3 linked regions of the Saccharomyces cerevisiae S288C genome follow. The protein of the gene in region 3 interacts with the protein of the main gene of each other region in a biochemical or structural test. Each region holds a gene or a part of one and is shown on either strand. Other genes may lie near its edges.

The links. The genes of interacting proteins can lie anywhere in the genome.
Region 1: of the proteins of PBS2 (region 3) and SSK2, one has a biochemical effect on the other in vitro, tested with the Saccharomyces cerevisiae proteins (4 studies listed by BioGRID, with this or other methods).
Region 2: the proteins of PBS2 (region 3) and NBP2 form a complex in vitro, tested with the Saccharomyces cerevisiae proteins (3 studies listed by BioGRID, with this or other methods).

What each region holds. Positions count from the first base shown.
Region 1 is NC_001146.8:680,194-687,229, reverse strand, and holds SSK2 (mitogen-activated protein kinase kinase kinase SSK2), read left to right. Parts: upstream 1-1,796; coding exon 1,797-6,536; downstream 6,537-7,036. Other genes in the region: putative serine/threonine-protein kinase PPG1, read right to left, coding at 114-1,220; ALG12 (dolichyl-P-Man:Man(7)GlcNAc(2)-PP-dolichol alpha-1,6-mannosyltransferase), read right to left, coding at 6,776-7,036. UniProt on the Saccharomyces cerevisiae protein: Kinase involved in a signal transduction pathway that is activated by changes in the osmolarity of the extracellular environment. Activates the PBS2 MAP kinase kinase by phosphorylation.
Region 2 is NC_001136.10:779,890-782,769, forward strand, and holds NBP2 (adaptor protein NBP2), read right to left. Parts: upstream 1,212-2,880; coding exon 501-1,211; downstream 1-500. Other genes in the region: ACL4 (Acl4p), read left to right, coding at 1-317; U2-type spliceosomal complex subunit CWC15, read left to right, coding at 1,534-2,061; SEC1 (Sec1p), read right to left, coding at 2,152-2,880. UniProt on the Saccharomyces cerevisiae protein: Negatively regulates the high-osmolarity glycerol (HOG) pathway through its negative regulation of the HOG1 kinase activity. Mediates the binding between the PTC1 phosphatase and the PBS2 MAP/ERK kinase (MEK).
Region 3 is NC_001142.9:175,818-184,316, reverse strand, and holds PBS2 (mitogen-activated protein kinase kinase PBS2), read left to right. Parts: upstream 1-4,213; coding exon 4,214-6,220; downstream 6,221-8,499. Other genes in the region: SPT10 (Spt10p), read left to right, coding at 97-2,019; MCO6 (Mco6p), read left to right, coding at 2,608-2,766; TRK1 (Trk1p), read left to right, coding at 7,011-8,499. UniProt on the Saccharomyces cerevisiae protein: Kinase involved in a signal transduction pathway that is activated by changes in the osmolarity of the extracellular environment. Activates the MAP kinase HOG1 by concomitant phosphorylation at 'Thr-174' and 'Tyr-176'.

The sequences.
Region 1 (7,036 bases), on a different chromosome or scaffold from region 3:
TTTTTTTTTTTGATCTAAATACACAATACATACATTTGCAACCGAGAGAGATAGAATATGTAGAAATAATAAGATGGCGTTGTCTCTATAATGCTTTTCTATTGTTTAGTAAGCTACAAGAAGTAATCAACATGTCTGTTAGAAGCAGATCTGGCTTGGTATACATCTGAAAATATGTACATTTCAGGGTCCGTGGAGCCATCTGCGGAGGCAGAGTCGTCTTCGAAATAATCTGCAATCAATTTCCTGTTGGCTACCGGATTAGATATGCTATCTTCTAAGGCATTGTCGTTCATACTGTTCTCTTTCAACAGTTTATTTTCAGGTGCCTCTTCGAAAACGTTGAAGTAGAATTGATCTTTACTATACAGCTCCAGAATAGATGCTTTATTGCCGCACCGATAACAATAGTTTGGCGCCGACCATACAGTAGTAACCAATCCATCAAAATATATCTGGTAACCTTCGTTACATAACTGATGGGCTCTGTATATTCTGTTCATATCGTTCATACGTAAGAATTTCTCCACCACGCTTCTTCCGAAAGTATAACCTGCTCCACGAGGTGACACCTGGAAATGTTGTCCAGAGTTATCTGGATGATCTAACGTGGGGTTATTGTTTTCTTCCGGATCAGACCAAACCAAGTCTGCCATGGCGCCATCGTGTGGAATTTCTCGAAATCTATCAATAATCTTGATCTGATCTATGGTTTGAACATTGGGCGAGAGCCCACCATGAACACAAAAAATTTCGTCGTCGATAATACAGCATAACACTAGATAGTCAAATATATCTGTCAAATATTGCCAAACTCTTGAATTGCCACCGTACTTGTTCAAGCACTCCGTGTAGAAACCATAGCTCTGCGTGATTTGACGTGACTCGTGGTTTCCCCTCAAAAGATGAATTCTACTAGGATATCGAAGCTTAAGCACAATCAATAGCATAATTGTTTCCACACTGTACAACCCCCTGTCTACATAGTCGCCCAAGAACAGATAATTCGTATCAGGAACAGGGCCGCCTATTTGGAAGATCTCCAGCATATCGTGAAACTGTCCATGCATATCCCCCACGACTGTGACAGGGGTCTGAATGTGAATCACGTTTGACTCCTTCACTAGCATTTCCTTCAGCTTAAAGCAGAGTGCCCTTACAGTCACTTCAGGTAGTAACTGGGCCTTGTATAGCCTTTCTAAACATTCGTCCAATTCCATCTCTACTGGGCCAATTCTCTAACCAAAAATAAAAGTACACAGTGGGGATACAACTGCAATGAGTGGAACTTAATAAACAGTCACGAACTGTTCCAAATTACCTACAACTCGCTGAAAATACCGCGTTTCATACCCTGAAACAGTGGGTATTTTAGCAGTTTTGCATTATTAATTACTGCTCCATCACCCGGGAAACTCGCGCCACTTTTCGGGCGTTTCTTTGTATGGAAAGAATTGATTAATCTGAAAAGAGTGATAAAGGTGGGTAAACAGAGATAGAAAGAAGCCAAATCTGCAGATTAGAAGAGGTTAGAAGATTGTAATTGTTGCTGCCCCAGTGTGTTATTGCCTTAGAGAGTAGTACTGTTAAAGAACAGCTAAGAACGGGTGTTTTCAAAACGAATTACTGGTTTACAAAGAATTCAAAGGAAAAAAAAAGGTTCCAGCATATTTGTTAACTTTTGTGTGAGCTCCGTCTGTCCTTCAAGTTACTATTGGGCAGTTTCAAGTACAAACAGTCTGCCATTACTAAAAAGAAGAGAAGCCTTTGCGTAAACTATTTGACAGGCACAAATAATGTCGCATTCAGACTACTTCAATTATAAGCCTTACGGCGATTCCACGGAAAAGCCCAGCAGCTCCAAGATGAGGCAGTCATCTTCATCATCTTCATCTAGACTAAGGTCGGAAAGTTTAGGGCGAAATTCCAATACTACGCAGGCTCGAGTAGCGTCATCGCCCATCAGCCCAGGGCTGCATTCTACCCAGTACTTTAGATCACCAAACGCTGTTTACAGCCCTGGAGAGTCTCCATTAAATACAGTACAGCTATTCAATCGTCTTCCGGGTATACCTCAAGGTCAGTTTTTTCATCAAAATGCCATTTCTGGGTCCTCCAGCTCCTCGGCAAGATCTAGTAGACGGCCCTCGAATATTGGTCTTCCTCTACCAAAAAATCCTCAGCAGTCTCTACCGAAGTTGTCTACTCAACCTGTTCCTGTACATAAGAAAGTTGAGGCTAGTAAAACAGAGAGCGAGATTATTAAGAAGCCCGCTCCCGTGAATAGTAATCAAGATCCATTATTGACGACCCCAACGTTAGTGATATCACCAGAACTGGCTTCACTAAATACAACGAATACATCGATTATGTCAACGCCACAAAATATTACAAACCAAACTTCGAACAAACACATTCCCACCAGATCGCAACCAAATGGGTCAACAAGTTCCTCCACTTTGCAGGATATTGTCACGACAAATAGCTCGCAACGGTCTGTAGGCCACCATGGTGGAAGCACAACGAGCCTCCGAACATACAAAAAACAATATGTATTAAATGAACAGTTATATTTAAGAAAAATGAGAAACCGTGCTAATGATGATTATTACACTAGAGGTATAGTCGCATCATCCAACTTTGAAGATGACGAAGAAAATTTTAGTAACAAAGGTGAAGATGACTTAGAACTAGAAATGGATGATCTTTTAAAGGTAGAAGGTGAGGATAAAGATAACGACTTCAATTTTGGTTATAATTTTATTACGTCGAGCACAAAAAATAATGAAAATGTTGTTTCGATGAGCCTAAATTATCTAAAGGGCAAATTGGATTGGTTGAGGGATGTGAACAATGATCAACCGTGTGAAATAGAAGATGAGGAGTGGCATTCCATACTGGGGAGCGAGGATTTGCTGTCAAAATTGTTACAAAATCCTATGGTGAACAACCGATTTGAATGGCAAACAATGTTATCTAAGGTACTGAAGGGAGATATTGTGAGGAATGAAAAAACGAAGATTGCAAATCAAGGGAAAGGCCCTGGCTTCAATACTCAGTTTTCAGATGACATTTGGATTGAGTTGAAGGCATGGATGAATGGGAGGACCGTGGAAGATCAGAACAAATCTCTGAGGATTTTTAGGGATTCTACTGACTCCGTATTTCAAGAAATCATGGCCTTTAAACTAGAAGATAATATGAGCGCTGACGAGGCTGCAGAGACTATCAAATCACTAGTAGACAAATATTATAGAGTCTTAAATCTATGGCCTAACATTAAAAGAATGCATGCTGAAAAACCCATTACTAAAACAGAAGCATTCAGGAATCGAATAGATACTTTGAATAGTTGGCTTAATTTCAAATTTAACTTTGATACTAATATTGCGTACCTGAAAAAATGGATAGTTGGCAATAAAGAGCTAGAAAGCACTACCGAAGTGGATAACACCACCGTGAATTTGGATGATCCAGCCGTTTTCGCCACTAATTGTAAACGCTTTGCGGAGCAAATTATGAAGGAAAAGGATATTGAACTGATATTTCAAAAAAAAATATTCTTTCCATTAGCACCATGGATTTTGAAGGCCAAATTTTTCTTCTTGAAATACCAAAAAACTTGGAATGAATTGAATCTATCTTATTTGGATCAAGATCTGGAATTTTTATTGATGTTTCCAATGCGTTTGGTAAAAGATATAATACTAATTCGCCTATCTTACGCGAAGAAAATACAGAATCCAACCTTGATGATGATCGATCAAATGATGGACGATTTTAGTACATATATTAAGTTGGCAGTCCAAATGAAATTCACTGTTGCTTCTTACTGTAATGACTGGTTTTTTAAAGTGAAAATCGATCCCGAATTTGATCATACCGTTGTTGAAGGATTGGAATATTTTTTCTCCATTTTGGAACTGAGAATATTATATAGTGGCAAAAACTCATTCAAGACTTCTAAAGAACCTGATCTGTTATTAAAATATTGGGAAATGTTTAGAAACGTCGGCTATTATATTGATGATGCAGGCGAACTGATCGCAGCAGAATTTACGAAGTTGACACTTAGATTGGTTCACAGATTGCACGCTTACCTTTTAAGGCAGCAAAACACTCCGCCAAAATTAGAGAATGAAGCTGCTGCTGAAAAATGGCTGGTGCAAATATTCGAAATACTTGGATCCATGAAAAGAAAACTCAATAGATTCACCAATATTTTGACAAAAGCATTTCAAAATTTTGTCCGCTACAAGATAGAAGATCACAACTATCTGCTAAAGCAACTAAAAGAAACAGGCCACTTTCTTATATACACAGGAGGTTACCTAGAGCAAAATGGTACTTATTTAATTGGTAGCCCAGAGCTATTAGGCTGTAAAGATGATGATATTTTAAGAATCATTAAGAATTCAGACATCGGTTGTGATTTAGTGCCTAAGCTAGAAATTAATAACAGTCTGACAATTTATAATGCTTTGGATGATAATTGGAACTCCAACTCATCACTGGGTTCAGATATCTCGAATGATGGTACCCCATTTTATTATATCAAAAACGATTTGACCACCCAGCCTAGATCTTATAACGGTAATAGAGTCAATCGTGAACCGGATTTTGAAAACAGCAGGAGCACGGAGGAAGAGTTTTATGAACTGGAGACAAGATTGAACTCTCTTGGTTATGTATTGGTATTGACTCCGCAAGAGCCATTACTTTGGGAGGGTGAGATGTATAATCTATCCGATAACAAAACAATTAAACCAGAGGGATTGAACTTGAAAGTAATTCCTAATTCAATAGATTTGATGTGCCAAGGATCCAGTTATGCCTTAGAATACCAATGTGACAGGTTCCAACAGATATCTGGTAGCTCAGTTTCTTTCTTGGAAAAAAAATCTTCCTCAGAAACGGTTAAAAACAACTTACAAAGGATAAATAAAGCATATTTCAGATGCACGTACAGTGTTCTGAAGAACTATACAAAGATTGTGACCACGTTCAAGAAGGTAAGTCCTGTCAATGATTTATTGAATAATATTTTCCTTTTTGGGAGGGATTTTGGTCTGAACTTTTTGAGAATTAATGTTGCCAACAATGAAAAAAGATCCATTATAATACTTTTAATGATGCGGTTAAGTATCGGATGGCTGAAGTTCTTAGCTGAAGACTGTGATCCGACTGATCAAAGGGTATTTAGGTGGTGTGTCACGTCAATGGAGTTCGCGATGCATATGGTAAGCGGTTGGAACATACTAGCTCTTGATGAATGCCAATTTTCTTCTTTAAAACAAAAAATTTCAGAATGCATGTCATTACTTATTTCTCATTTTGATATAATAGGCGCACGCTCCATAGAAGTTGAGAAAATCAATCAACAAGCTAGATCAAATCTTGATTTGGAAGATGTGTTTGACGATGATATGATGCTACAAGTGAATTCCGAGTTCCGAGTACAAAGTATAATGGAATTGGAAGAAAGGATAAAGCGGAATCCTCATCAAACTGGTAAAGTAATTGATGATAGTGACAAAGGTAACAAGTACCTTGTTTCTTTGGCATCTTCCATATCGAACGTTTCTATGAGATGGCAAAAGAGGAACTTTATTGGTGGCGGTACTTTTGGAAGGGTATATTCTGCTGTTGATTTGGATAATGGTGAGATTTTAGCAGTCAAGGAAATCAATATTCAAGATAGCAAATCAATGCAAAAAATATTCCCCTTAATCAAGGAGGAAATGAGTGTCTTAGAGATATTGAACCATCCAAATATAGTTTCATATTACGGTGTTGAAGTTCATCGTGATAAAGTTAACATCTTTATGGAATATTGTGAAGGCGGTTCCCTAGCAGCTCTTTTGGAGCATGGTCGTATTGAAGATGAAATGGTCACTCAAGTCTACACTTTACAATTGCTAGAAGGACTTGCATATTTGCATGAATCCGGCATTGTTCACCGTGATGTTAAACCCGAAAACATCCTACTAGATTTTAATGGTGTTATTAAGTATGTTGATTTTGGTGCTGCTAAAAAAATTGCTAATAATGGAACTAGATTGGCAAGTATGAACAAAATCGAAAACGCAGATGGTGAACACGAAGATGTTACCCATGTTTCTGATTCAAAGGCAGTGAAAAATAACGAAAATGCTCTATTAGACATGATGGGAACTCCTATGTACATGGCTCCAGAATCCATCACTGGATCTACCACCAAAGGCAAACTTGGGGCAGACGATGTTTGGTCGTTAGGCTGCGTGGTATTAGAAATGATCACTGGTAGACGGCCATGGGCTAACTTAGATAATGAATGGGCTATCATGTACCATGTTGCTGCAGGACATACCCCACAATTCCCTACTAAGGATGAAGTGTCGTCTGCTGGTATGAAATTTCTGGAAAGATGTCTTATTCAAAACCCCTCCAAGAGAGCCAGTGCGGTTGAGCTGTTGATGGATCCTTGGATTGTACAAATTAGAGAAATAGCCTTTGGCGACGATTCTTCCTCTACAGATACTGAGGAAAGAGAGTAGTTAAGTTGAGAAGGTTTGTTGTATTATATGTAAAATCAAAATATAATGTAGTGGGGGGAGAGTATATAATGTTAATTCAAGGATAGAAGATTAATGATAGCATTTTTTTATAATTGTTTTGATTTTGAGAACAGAAATTTATAAAGGTAAGATATAAAAGTGAAAATTTGAAGTCTAGTCGAGGTGGATTAATGTAAAACGCTCGCTATATATTTTATTGGAATTGACGTTAGCTATTATCAATCAGTTTTTTCATCTTGTTTGATTCTCTTATAGGTGAAGAAGACATCGCTTTTAACAATCGAATTGGCCGTCAATTCTTTCAAAAAAACGGTAGGGGTCTTGTCGAAAATGATCTGTTTGAGTAGAGACAAAACATTCACTCTCTCTTGGAAAACAAAGTTCTTAATGTAGGTTGGGTCAAATCCAGTAAACATCTTTGTTGTGTTAACTAGCTCCCAATGGTTGGTAGTCTTATTCTCGAATGGCAATTGAGAGGC
Region 2 (2,880 bases), on a different chromosome or scaffold from region 3:
AAGTAAGCCTGCGTCCGGAAAATATATACGAGTTTAACCAACTCATTCAAGAAGTTCCTTTGGATTTATCCCACGAACCAATCTCCCAGTTAATCTATGACTCAAGATTAGCGCTAAGTTTTGCATTGCAAGCAGGTGTCAATGCTGACAGCAAAGATGAAATTGTGCAAGAATTATTGGGCGGTGCTAATGCTTTACTCCAAGAAATTGGTGGTCCTCTAGATCCAAGTGAGTTAACACAAATCAAGAAGGGTGATTTAGTGAATGAGAATGAAGACTTGGAAGAGTTGGACATAGAGGAAGAATATTCTGACTAATAGTCTTCTAATTTAACATATGCATAAGTACATACACTGATATATATGTATATATCCGTAAGAAACGGAAATTATGACATAGAACAGATGGAAGAAGATTCGGCCAGGCATACCGCCAGGGTGGTGACCTCTTTATCTGTTTTTAGTGAGTATTTTACTGTCATAACCAATTGGAATTTGTATTCAATCCGATATATCTAATTTTGTTTTCATATCTGCTTCGACCTCCGCAACATCATCAATATCTTCCCATTCATCGTTGTCGTCGTATTCATCTTCGTTAGTGTTATCAATATTGTTTTTAGGACTAACGCTCTGTGTAATCAAATGTGTCAAATAGAAAGGTCGAGCCTTATTCTCCACCTCGTTCTCACCATCTTCCGGCTGTATATAAGAGACAAACTCCTCCGGTACCAACCCTGTTTTTGATCCTGACTCATTTTCTGCTACTAGCCAACCTTGCCCATGCTTGTAACTGATAAATACGATGTCACCCTCAGCCAATCTCAATTCATTATCATTTTCGGGTTCGAAATCGTAGAGGGCAACAGCACGTTGGTTAACTATGTAGTCGTCTGGTAGTGTTATACTTTGTCTTTTATTGTATGTGTCTTCTCCATTTGAAGAATCTGAAACCATTTCATCCTCCTCATTGTCTCCATCAAAATAACCATAATGGAGAGGATTCGAATCTGCGTACGCATAATCTTTGATTGATATATAACCTATTGTGGTTGTTTCTGTATCTTCCATTGTGTCACTATTTCCTGCCTGCACTGCCTCCACCTCTCTCCCGTTCTGTAATACTGCCTCATTGAGAACACCTATAGTTTTTTTGAGACCAGATTTCAAAATATTGGTATCTTTTTGTGTGGTCGTTTCCATCGTTGCCATCGTAGATTCAATAAATATGTCAGTGGAAGTTAAAGTAAGGTAAAGTTGAGAAAAATACTTAAAATTTGTTAGTATCTATCACGTTTTATTGGTAGCTGTTATTATGTGTGATTGAGCGTGTTGTTACTGTGCACTGTGTTGCATTGTCCATTACAAGCTACTTCTGAAGTGAATTCTCCATTTCTCGCAACTGGAAAAATAAGTTGGTGTGACTAAAAATAATAGTCTATCTCTTCACGAAAAGGAAATAGGAATGACAAAGCTCCAAAAGGCTCCATAAAGAACTTGCTCAGAGGCTGGCATTTGAAAGGGCTACAAGACCATGACCACATCACACAGACCACAGTTAGAAGCAAGAAGCGGTGCAAAAGCGGCCGCTTATACACCAACAGGCATCGAGCATGCCAGATTACTACCAGGACATACAACATTAAAATACAGGAAATTTAAAGAGGAGGAAAATCTTAGAGCAAACTGTGCGCAAGAAGATAGGAGCAACGATAAATCTTTAGAGGAGGCAGTAATGAACGAAGAGAAACAGGATGTTGTGGGGAGTGGGAACCTCCAAGAAACCCGCAGTGAGAAAGACCAAAAAGACTCGTTGCAAGAGCTGCTGGTTACTCAAAAAAATAAAGTGGAAGATAAAGCAGAGCTTGAAGGAAATGAACAATTAAAGGGAGGAAATTCGTCTAGGCGATCGTGGAGAAAGGGCACGGCGTTTGGACGCCATAAAGTAACCAAAGAGACAAATATTAAGGAACATGCAACAAAAAAATCAGCGTCCGGATACATTAACGATATGACAAAATCTGAATATCATCAAGAATTTCTCCATAAGCATGTTAGATAGTACATAGGAACGATACATAAATAGTACGTTTATATCTTTTTTTTTTGACAAGAGCAAGTGATTTTTTTTATCACTGTCTTCTTTAAGGGATCATTTATCATGGTGAGATTTTCTTTTCAAGAACCTCGAGAATTTGCTACGTTTCTTCTCTTTTTCGGGTGGTTCTGACTTGAGAGAACCTGCTGCTTTGGGACTAGAAGTACCAGACTTAGGACTATTGTCTTGGCTTTTTAAATGAACATGAGAGACTGGTTGTGCCACCGGTTTCATTTCCCTTAGAAGGAAATCAGGCGGGTTTACTTGCTGGCGCTGATCTTCCTTGAATTTGAAAAATTCTCTAGGATTTTGTAAACGTTCCACTTCATCTAAGAATTTTGTTGGTGTTAATATCTCGTCGCTGCCAATAAAGATATCTCTGTTCTTCAAGTTTGATTGATCATAAGCAGCTTTAATTTCGGGAATTGATATACCACCAATAACATAGTAGAAGAATCTTTGTCTAGGTATGTTTTTTTTTATATTAGAGCTTTTCGTGGTCCAAGCTGCCTTGTGACGGGGATTCCTTAAGGATGAGGAGGAGTTAGCAGAGGTATTCGCTAAGCCTGCTTGGAATTCTTCTTCATTCAATAACTCAATTGGCTTGTCCTTTAAATATGGGAAGTATTGTTCGCTCAATAACAATGGATTCGCTATAACCTTTGAAAGAATATTCCCTACAGCGGGAACGAACCTTGAAGTGTGATAGATATTTGGATCATTCACTAAAGTATCATGAAACCATTCCTTTTGAAATGGTTTATCCTTCGGTTTGTCTTTGAT
Region 3 (8,499 bases):
CACTGCTCGGGGGATGAGTAAAAAGTGTACCGATCAAGAACAACTCTAGACTTCCGCCAAAGTGATTATCAACAAAAATCGTAATAATTAGCTTCAATGCTAAATCAGCACACAAGTTCAGTACCGGATGACGAACATCTGCAGATGGCACACCAAAATAGCAGTTCAGAAGTGAGAAATGAGGCAGCGGTCCCAGATCAACTTTTGACTCCTTTACAACCGTATACCATTTTATTGAAAGATGGAGAAACAATAGCTACGATGTATCCTATACCTGCGTATCCTGATTTATTGCCGCTAGGGCTCTTAAATTTCCTTCTAGATGAATTTAACATGGAAGTGGAAAAGGGAGATAGTTTTCCTTATTACGAGACTTTATCACTAGAAGAATTCAAAAATGTCTGGTTTCATAATGATGGTCACGTTTGTATTATGGTGTTAGGCGAAATACCAGAACTGGATTATAGTATGGATACTGAAGCGGACACAAATGATAATTTTGGAACAGAAATAGAAACCACGAAGCACACCACCCAATATAAGAAACGAAAAGAACGTCGCAATTTAAATCTAAGTATGCAGTGGGAGAAGCAATGTCTAGGCATATTTGACCTCAAACCAGCATACCCTGGACGGTCAGCGCATGTGGTCACAGGAACATTTCTGGTCAATGCTGGTATTCGTGGAAAAGGTATTGGGAAAACACTAATGGAAACATTCATAGAATGGTCAAAGAAATTAGGATTTACGTCCTCCTTTTTCCCGTTAATTTACGGAACGAACGTAGGAATCAGAAGAATTTTGGAAGGATTGAACTTTAGGCGGATTGGAAAGCTGCCTGAAGCCGGGATTCTCAAGGGCTTTGATGTCCCAGTAGATTCTTTCATGTATGGTAAAGAGTTCACACATATTACGAAAAGTATAGATTTGTTACGAGATCCTCAAAAGAGTATCGAAATTGGGAAATATGAACGATTAAAGCATTTTCTGGAAACAGGCAAGTATCCTTTACATTGTGATAGAAACGAAAAGGCTAGATTAAGAGTACTTTCCAAAACTCATTCGGTATTGAATGGCAAGTTGATGACAAAAGGAAAAGAAATCATTTATGACACGGATCAACAAATCCAGATTGCATTAGAGATACATTTAATGGAACATTTAGGCATCAACAAGGTGACCTCCAAAATTGGTGAAAAATACCATTGGAGAGGAATCAAGAGTACTGTTTCGGAGGTAATCTCTCGGTGCCAAAAATGCAAGATGAGGTACAAAGACGGGACAGGGGTAATAATTGAACAAAAGAGAGCAGTTAAGCAGGCGCATATGCTACCGACGCAGCATATAGAAACTATCAACAATCCAAGAAAAAGCAAGAAGCATGATAATGCGTTATTGGGACAGGCAATAAATTTCCCTCAAAATATTATTTCCAGTACGCTGAATGATGTGGAGGGTGAACCCACTCCGCCAGACACTAATATCGTACAACCCACATTCCAGAACGCCACGAATAGTCCCGCAACAACAGCTGAAGCCAACGAAGCGAATAAAAGATCCGAGTTTCTTTCCTCAATACAGAGCACGCCACTATTGGACGACGAACAGTCAATGAATTCCTTCAATAGATTCGTGGAGGAAGAAAACTCAAGAAAAAGACGAAAATACTTGGATGTTGCCTCCAACGGAATTGTACCCCATTTAACGAATAACGAATCGCAGGATCACGCGAACCCCGTCAACCGTGATGAACGAGATATGAACCATTCAGTTCCCGATTTAGATAGAAATGACCATACTATAATGAACGATGCTATGTTGAGCCTCGAAGATAACGTCATGGCCGCTCTAGAAATGGTCCAAAAGGAACAACAACAGAAGATAAATCATCGAGGTGAAGATGTGACTGGCCAACAAATCGATTTGAACAACAGTGAAGGTAATGAGAATTCAGTCACTAAGATTGTTAACAACGAATCTAATACATTTACAGAGCACAATTCTAATATTTATTATTAAATTGCGACTCTGCCAGAGACGGTCACATCACCAACCCTAGAAACTATAAAGTTTGTACAGAAAAAAGGTACATTTAATGATGCGTCCACTTTTGGAACAGGGTTGACAAGTCTTAAATCTTATTTCAGAAGTGATTTTTGAAGTAAAATTGGAAACTGAAATTGGAAACAAGGCACTCAACTCAATTATGCTTGCATGACGAAAGGTTCTGTTACAGTTTTACGTTGAAACCTAGGTACTGCAGAAATCCATAATCGGAGATAAATAACTAAGCTTTGTGCTGCAAAATTTTCCAGATTAGGAAACCTGATCCTCAGTGCCCTTTTAAGTACTGCTGTATCTGATGCCGTGAACGAGACACTATTGGCTGCGTGGGCACGTACCAAGTATACTCATCAAAATTTGTCTTAGGTTTTCCGATGCGGAAAATGGCAGCGCACAATTTAAATAGAAAAGGAGTTAAATGTACAGCAGCAAAATCAGTCACTCACGGAGAAAAGCTACGGTAGCGTAACGAAGAGCACATTGCTACTAGCAGCCAGCTAGATAATTGCAGCAGTGTACAGTTTACGCGACAATAAAGAAAGCATGATTTTCTTTTTCAACCAGATCCGTTCAATATTTACAGCTTTGCATACGCCAACTCAACAGATCCAATTATCAAGAAGGGCCTTTTTCCAATTCTTAGGCTATTTGGGTAGTTGTGTTGTGATTTCATTAGCAGCTCAATCGAAATACGTGCAGTAAGAAATGAAATAATGACCTGCAACAGTCCTTCTTGAGATGGAATGAAGTAATTGCTCTTTGAACGAGAGCACAAAAGCAAGCAGAAGTCGCGTATGTCAAGCCCATGATATAGCTGCTTAGATATATAGGTAGATATAAATAAGCACAATGGCTACAGTAATTGTGCGGTGCAGGGAGGCAATGTTTAGTGCATCTCCTCTACATCATTTCTATTTTTAATCTCGTCCACGAGAACGATTTAAGGAAATGGGGCTTCAAAAATAAAAAAATCAAATGAAAGTAATAATCTTTCAGCTTAGACTTATTTTTAGTTGAAACACTTGAATAAGAGTGCAGACACTCAATCGTGGTGTAGCTACAAGAACATATGGTGGCGTGTTTCTGCTGCAACTGTCAAGATCGTCTGTGTCTTAATGAGGTGATATATAGAACTGCTGAATACGGAGCCGTTTGTCTTTTACTGCGGGATTAACTTCAACAGCTACGGCCGAAGCCAATTCTGGCAAAAGGCAATGACTAAGTCTTGTTTCTCATGTAGATTACTATTTTGAGCGTGTTGCTTTTCTGTTCCCCTTGAGCATAGCAGCAGGCACGGAAGCATACAGAATATTCACTAACATGAGAACAACTCATTACTAGACTACTACCAGTTACTACACATCGATACAACTCCCCAGAAATATCACTGTTGAGAGTTCATGTCAAGACGTAGTATAGTATTGCAACAGGAAAAAAAAATCTTATTGCGTAGCACTCTGTATCTATTTTATATATCTGTTTCTATATTTGATTAATCTCTTGTTATCTTGGTGATGATCGCACAAGTATGTACTCCTGTATCTGCAAGAATATCTGTTTTAAACTTTTCAAAGCAAGGAAACCCCGTCTTATATAGGTTATCCGCAAAGGTCACATTTTCTTGCAAATAGAAGAAAAAGCACCCACAAGCACACTAACACAGTGCCAGAGCAAAACTATATCCTTTGCATCCGATCTCAAACGCTGTTCTTATCGCATCTGTCTTCGTCCTTTCATCTGCATTTACCTTTTCTTTTTCATCCTCTATTTGCCTTTTCATTAGTGGCAATTTTTCCAGTTTTTTCCCTCTGCGTCCCGTTGCACCTGAAAGGATCTTTCTAACGTGTGTTGTCTACTAGTGAGCGATTTCGTGAGCCATACACGTTCTATAGAAAATTGAATAAACTTTACTTCAAAGGGATCTGGACACAGAGATAACTGCTTACCTGCTTGCCGGAAGAAAAGAATTACTAAAAAAGAAGACAAGGGTAGCTGCTATTGTGGGTACACGTTTCACAGAACTACTTTTTCCTTGTCCTTCTCCAGACATCAACGTCATACAACTAAAACTGATAAAGTACCCGTTTTTCCGTACATTTCTATAGATACATTATTATATTAAGCAGATCGAGACGTTAATTTCTCAAAGATGGAAGACAAGTTTGCTAACCTCAGTCTCCATGAGAAAACTGGTAAGTCATCTATCCAATTAAACGAGCAAACAGGCTCAGATAATGGCTCTGCTGTCAAGAGAACATCTTCGACGTCCTCGCACTACAATAACATCAACGCTGACCTTCATGCTCGTGTAAAAGCTTTTCAAGAACAACGTGCATTGAAAAGGTCTGCCAGCGTGGGCAGTAATCAAAGCGAGCAAGACAAAGGCAGTTCACAATCACCTAAACATATTCAGCAGATTGTTAATAAGCCATTGCCGCCTCTTCCCGTAGCAGGAAGTTCTAAGGTTTCACAAAGAATGAGTAGCCAAGTCGTGCAAGCGTCCTCCAAGAGCACTCTTAAGAACGTTCTGGACAATCAAGAAACACAAAACATTACCGACGTAAATATTAACATCGATACAACCAAAATTACCGCCACAACAATTGGTGTAAATACTGGCCTACCTGCTACTGACATTACGCCGTCAGTTTCTAATACTGCATCAGCAACACATAAGGCGCAATTGCTGAATCCTAACAGAAGGGCACCAAGAAGGCCGCTTTCTACCCAGCACCCTACAAGACCAAATGTTGCCCCGCATAAGGCCCCTGCTATAATCAACACACCAAAACAAAGTTTAAGTGCCCGTCGAGGGCTCAAATTACCACCAGGAGGAATGTCATTAAAAATGCCCACTAAAACAGCTCAACAGCCGCAGCAGTTTGCCCCAAGCCCTTCAAACAAAAAACATATAGAAACCTTATCAAACAGCAAAGTTGTTGAAGGGAAAAGATCGAATCCGGGTTCTTTGATAAATGGTGTGCAAAGCACATCCACCTCATCAAGTACCGAAGGCCCACATGACACTGTAGGCACTACACCCAGAACTGGAAACAGCAACAACTCTTCAAATTCTGGTAGTAGTGGTGGTGGTGGTCTTTTCGCAAATTTCTCGAAATACGTGGATATCAAATCCGGCTCTTTGAATTTTGCAGGCAAACTATCGCTATCCTCTAAAGGAATAGATTTCAGCAATGGTTCTAGTTCGAGAATTACATTGGACGAACTAGAATTTTTGGATGAACTGGGTCATGGTAACTATGGTAACGTCTCAAAGGTACTGCATAAGCCCACAAATGTTATTATGGCGACGAAGGAAGTCCGTTTGGAGCTAGATGAGGCTAAATTTAGACAAATTTTAATGGAACTAGAAGTTTTGCATAAATGCAATTCTCCCTATATTGTGGATTTTTATGGTGCATTCTTTATTGAGGGCGCCGTCTACATGTGTATGGAATACATGGATGGTGGTTCCTTGGATAAAATATACGACGAATCATCTGAAATCGGCGGCATTGATGAACCTCAGCTAGCGTTTATTGCCAATGCTGTCATTCATGGACTAAAAGAACTCAAAGAGCAGCATAATATCATACACAGAGATGTCAAACCAACAAATATTTTATGTTCAGCCAACCAAGGCACCGTAAAGCTGTGCGATTTCGGTGTTTCTGGTAATTTGGTGGCATCTTTAGCGAAGACTAATATTGGTTGTCAGTCATACATGGCACCTGAACGAATCAAATCGTTGAATCCAGATAGAGCCACCTATACCGTACAGTCAGACATCTGGTCTTTAGGTTTAAGCATTCTGGAAATGGCACTAGGTAGATATCCGTATCCACCAGAAACATACGACAACATTTTCTCTCAATTGAGCGCTATTGTTGATGGGCCGCCACCGAGATTACCTTCAGATAAATTCAGTTCTGACGCACAAGATTTTGTTTCTTTATGTCTACAAAAGATTCCGGAAAGAAGACCTACATACGCAGCTTTAACAGAGCATCCTTGGTTAGTAAAATACAGAAACCAGGATGTCCACATGAGTGAGTATATCACTGAACGATTAGAAAGGCGCAACAAAATCTTACGGGAACGTGGTGAGAATGGTTTATCTAAAAATGTACCGGCATTACATATGGGTGGTTTATAGCGTTAATATCCAAATAAAAGCAAACAGGCACGTGAATATAACAACAAAAAAAAAGCAGACGAAAAGCTACTGTGGAAATGATGCGGCGAATACAAAAAAACCTTACATATACATATGTTTATTGTAATAAACTTGCATTATACTCGTTATAGACATATATATATATATATATTCATATATATATATCGTCTGACTTCCTTTTGTCGAACCTAAAAAAGGGCACGAATTATGACAGAGTATTGAGGGGATGTTATTTCAAGCACCGGCAAGTGAAGCGATGTGGACGTCAATATATTGTGTTATTCGATTATTGCTACGGCCATCGACTCCTCGAAATTATTTACGTTCGGGGCTGACAACGCAAGAAAGAAAAAATGCTCTGGAATTGTCTGATGGTTTTTCCGCTCTTTACGGCTCAAGGCTAGGAAAGAAAAAAAAGTCCAAAATCATCGAGAAAATAAAAGGTGTTTTGAAAGTTCAAATCCACGTTATTGAGAGTAGATGTGGAGTCTGGACCAGGAACTATACCTGTATCTTACCCTAACTTCTAAATTTTGCTACTTTCACGGAAAACAGTAAATAATTACCTATCAAGATAAAGAGCTCTTACATTATTAGAAACTTTTTGTTACTGTTGCTTTCCTTTCGCCCATTGTTTTTACCTTACCATTAGCATCACTGATTCCACACTTGTATTGCCTTAAAAAGAAGGAGGGTATTCTATTGGCTCTCAAGGAAGTCATTCCTATCCATTTTACTTAAAGTTATTACCTTTTTTTGATAACTAACAATGCATTTTAGAAGAACGATGAGTAGAGTGCCCACATTGGCATCTCTTGAAATACGATATAAAAAATCTTTCGGCCATAAATTTCGTGATTTTATTGCTCTATGTGGTCACTATTTTGCTCCAGTTAAAAAATATATCTTCCCCAGTTTTATCGCGGTTCACTACTTCTACACGATATCCCTGACATTAATAACTTCAATCCTGCTATATCCCATTAAGAATACCAGATACATTGATACATTGTTTTTAGCAGCGGGCGCAGTTACACAAGGTGGCTTAAATACTGTGGATATCAACAATCTAAGCTTATACCAACAAATTGTTCTGTATATCGTATGCTGCATATCAACACCAATTGCAGTTCATAGTTGCTTGGCATTTGTACGGCTTTACTGGTTTGAGCGCTACTTCGATGGTATTAGAGACTCTTCTAGACGAAATTTTAAGATGAGAAGAACGAAAACAATCTTAGAAAGGGAACTAACAGCAAGAACCATGACCAAGAATAGAACAGGTACCCAAAGAACGTCTTATCCTAGGAAACAAGCTAAAACAGATGATTTCCAAGAAAAATTGTTCAGCGGAGAAATGGTTAATAGAGATGAGCAGGACTCAGTTCACAGCGACCAGAATTCTCATGACATTAGTAGGGACAGCAGCAATAATAATACGAATCACAATGGTAGCAGTGGCAGTTTAGATGATTTCGTTAAGGAAGACGAAACGGATGACAATGGAGAATATCAGGAGAACAACTCCTACTCGACGGTAGGTAGTTCGTCTAACACAGTTGCAGACGAAAGTTTAAATCAGAAGCCCAAGCCAAGCAGTCTTCGGTTTGATGAGCCACACAGCAAACAAAGACCCGCAAGAGTTCCCTCAGAGAAATTTGCAAAAAGAAGGGGTTCAAGAGATATTAGCCCAGCCGATATGTATCGATCCATTATGATGCTACAAGGTAAGCATGAAGCAACTGCTGAAGATGAAGGTCCCCCTTTAGTCATCGGGTCCCCTGCGGATGGCACAAGATATAAAAGTAATGTCAATAAGCTAAAGAAGGCCACCGGCATAAATGGTAACAAAATCAAGATTCGAGATAAGGGAAATGAAAGTAACACTGATCAAAATTCCGTGTCAAGTGAAGCAAACAGTACGGCGAGCGTTTCGGACGAAAGCTCGTTACACACAAATTTTGGTAACAAAGTACCTTCATTAAGAACAAATACTCATAGATCAAATTCGGGCCCGATAGCCATTACTGATAACGCAGAAACAGACAAAAAGCATGGGCCATCAATTCAATTCGATATAACTAAACCTCCTAGAAAAATTTCAAAAAGAGTTTCAACCTTCGATGATTTGAACCCAAAATCTTCCGTTCTTTATCGAAAAAAAGCATCGAAGAAGTACCTCATGAAACATTTTCCTAAAGCGCGGCGAATACGGCAACAAATTAAGAGAAGGCTTTCTACTGGTTCAATTGAGAAAA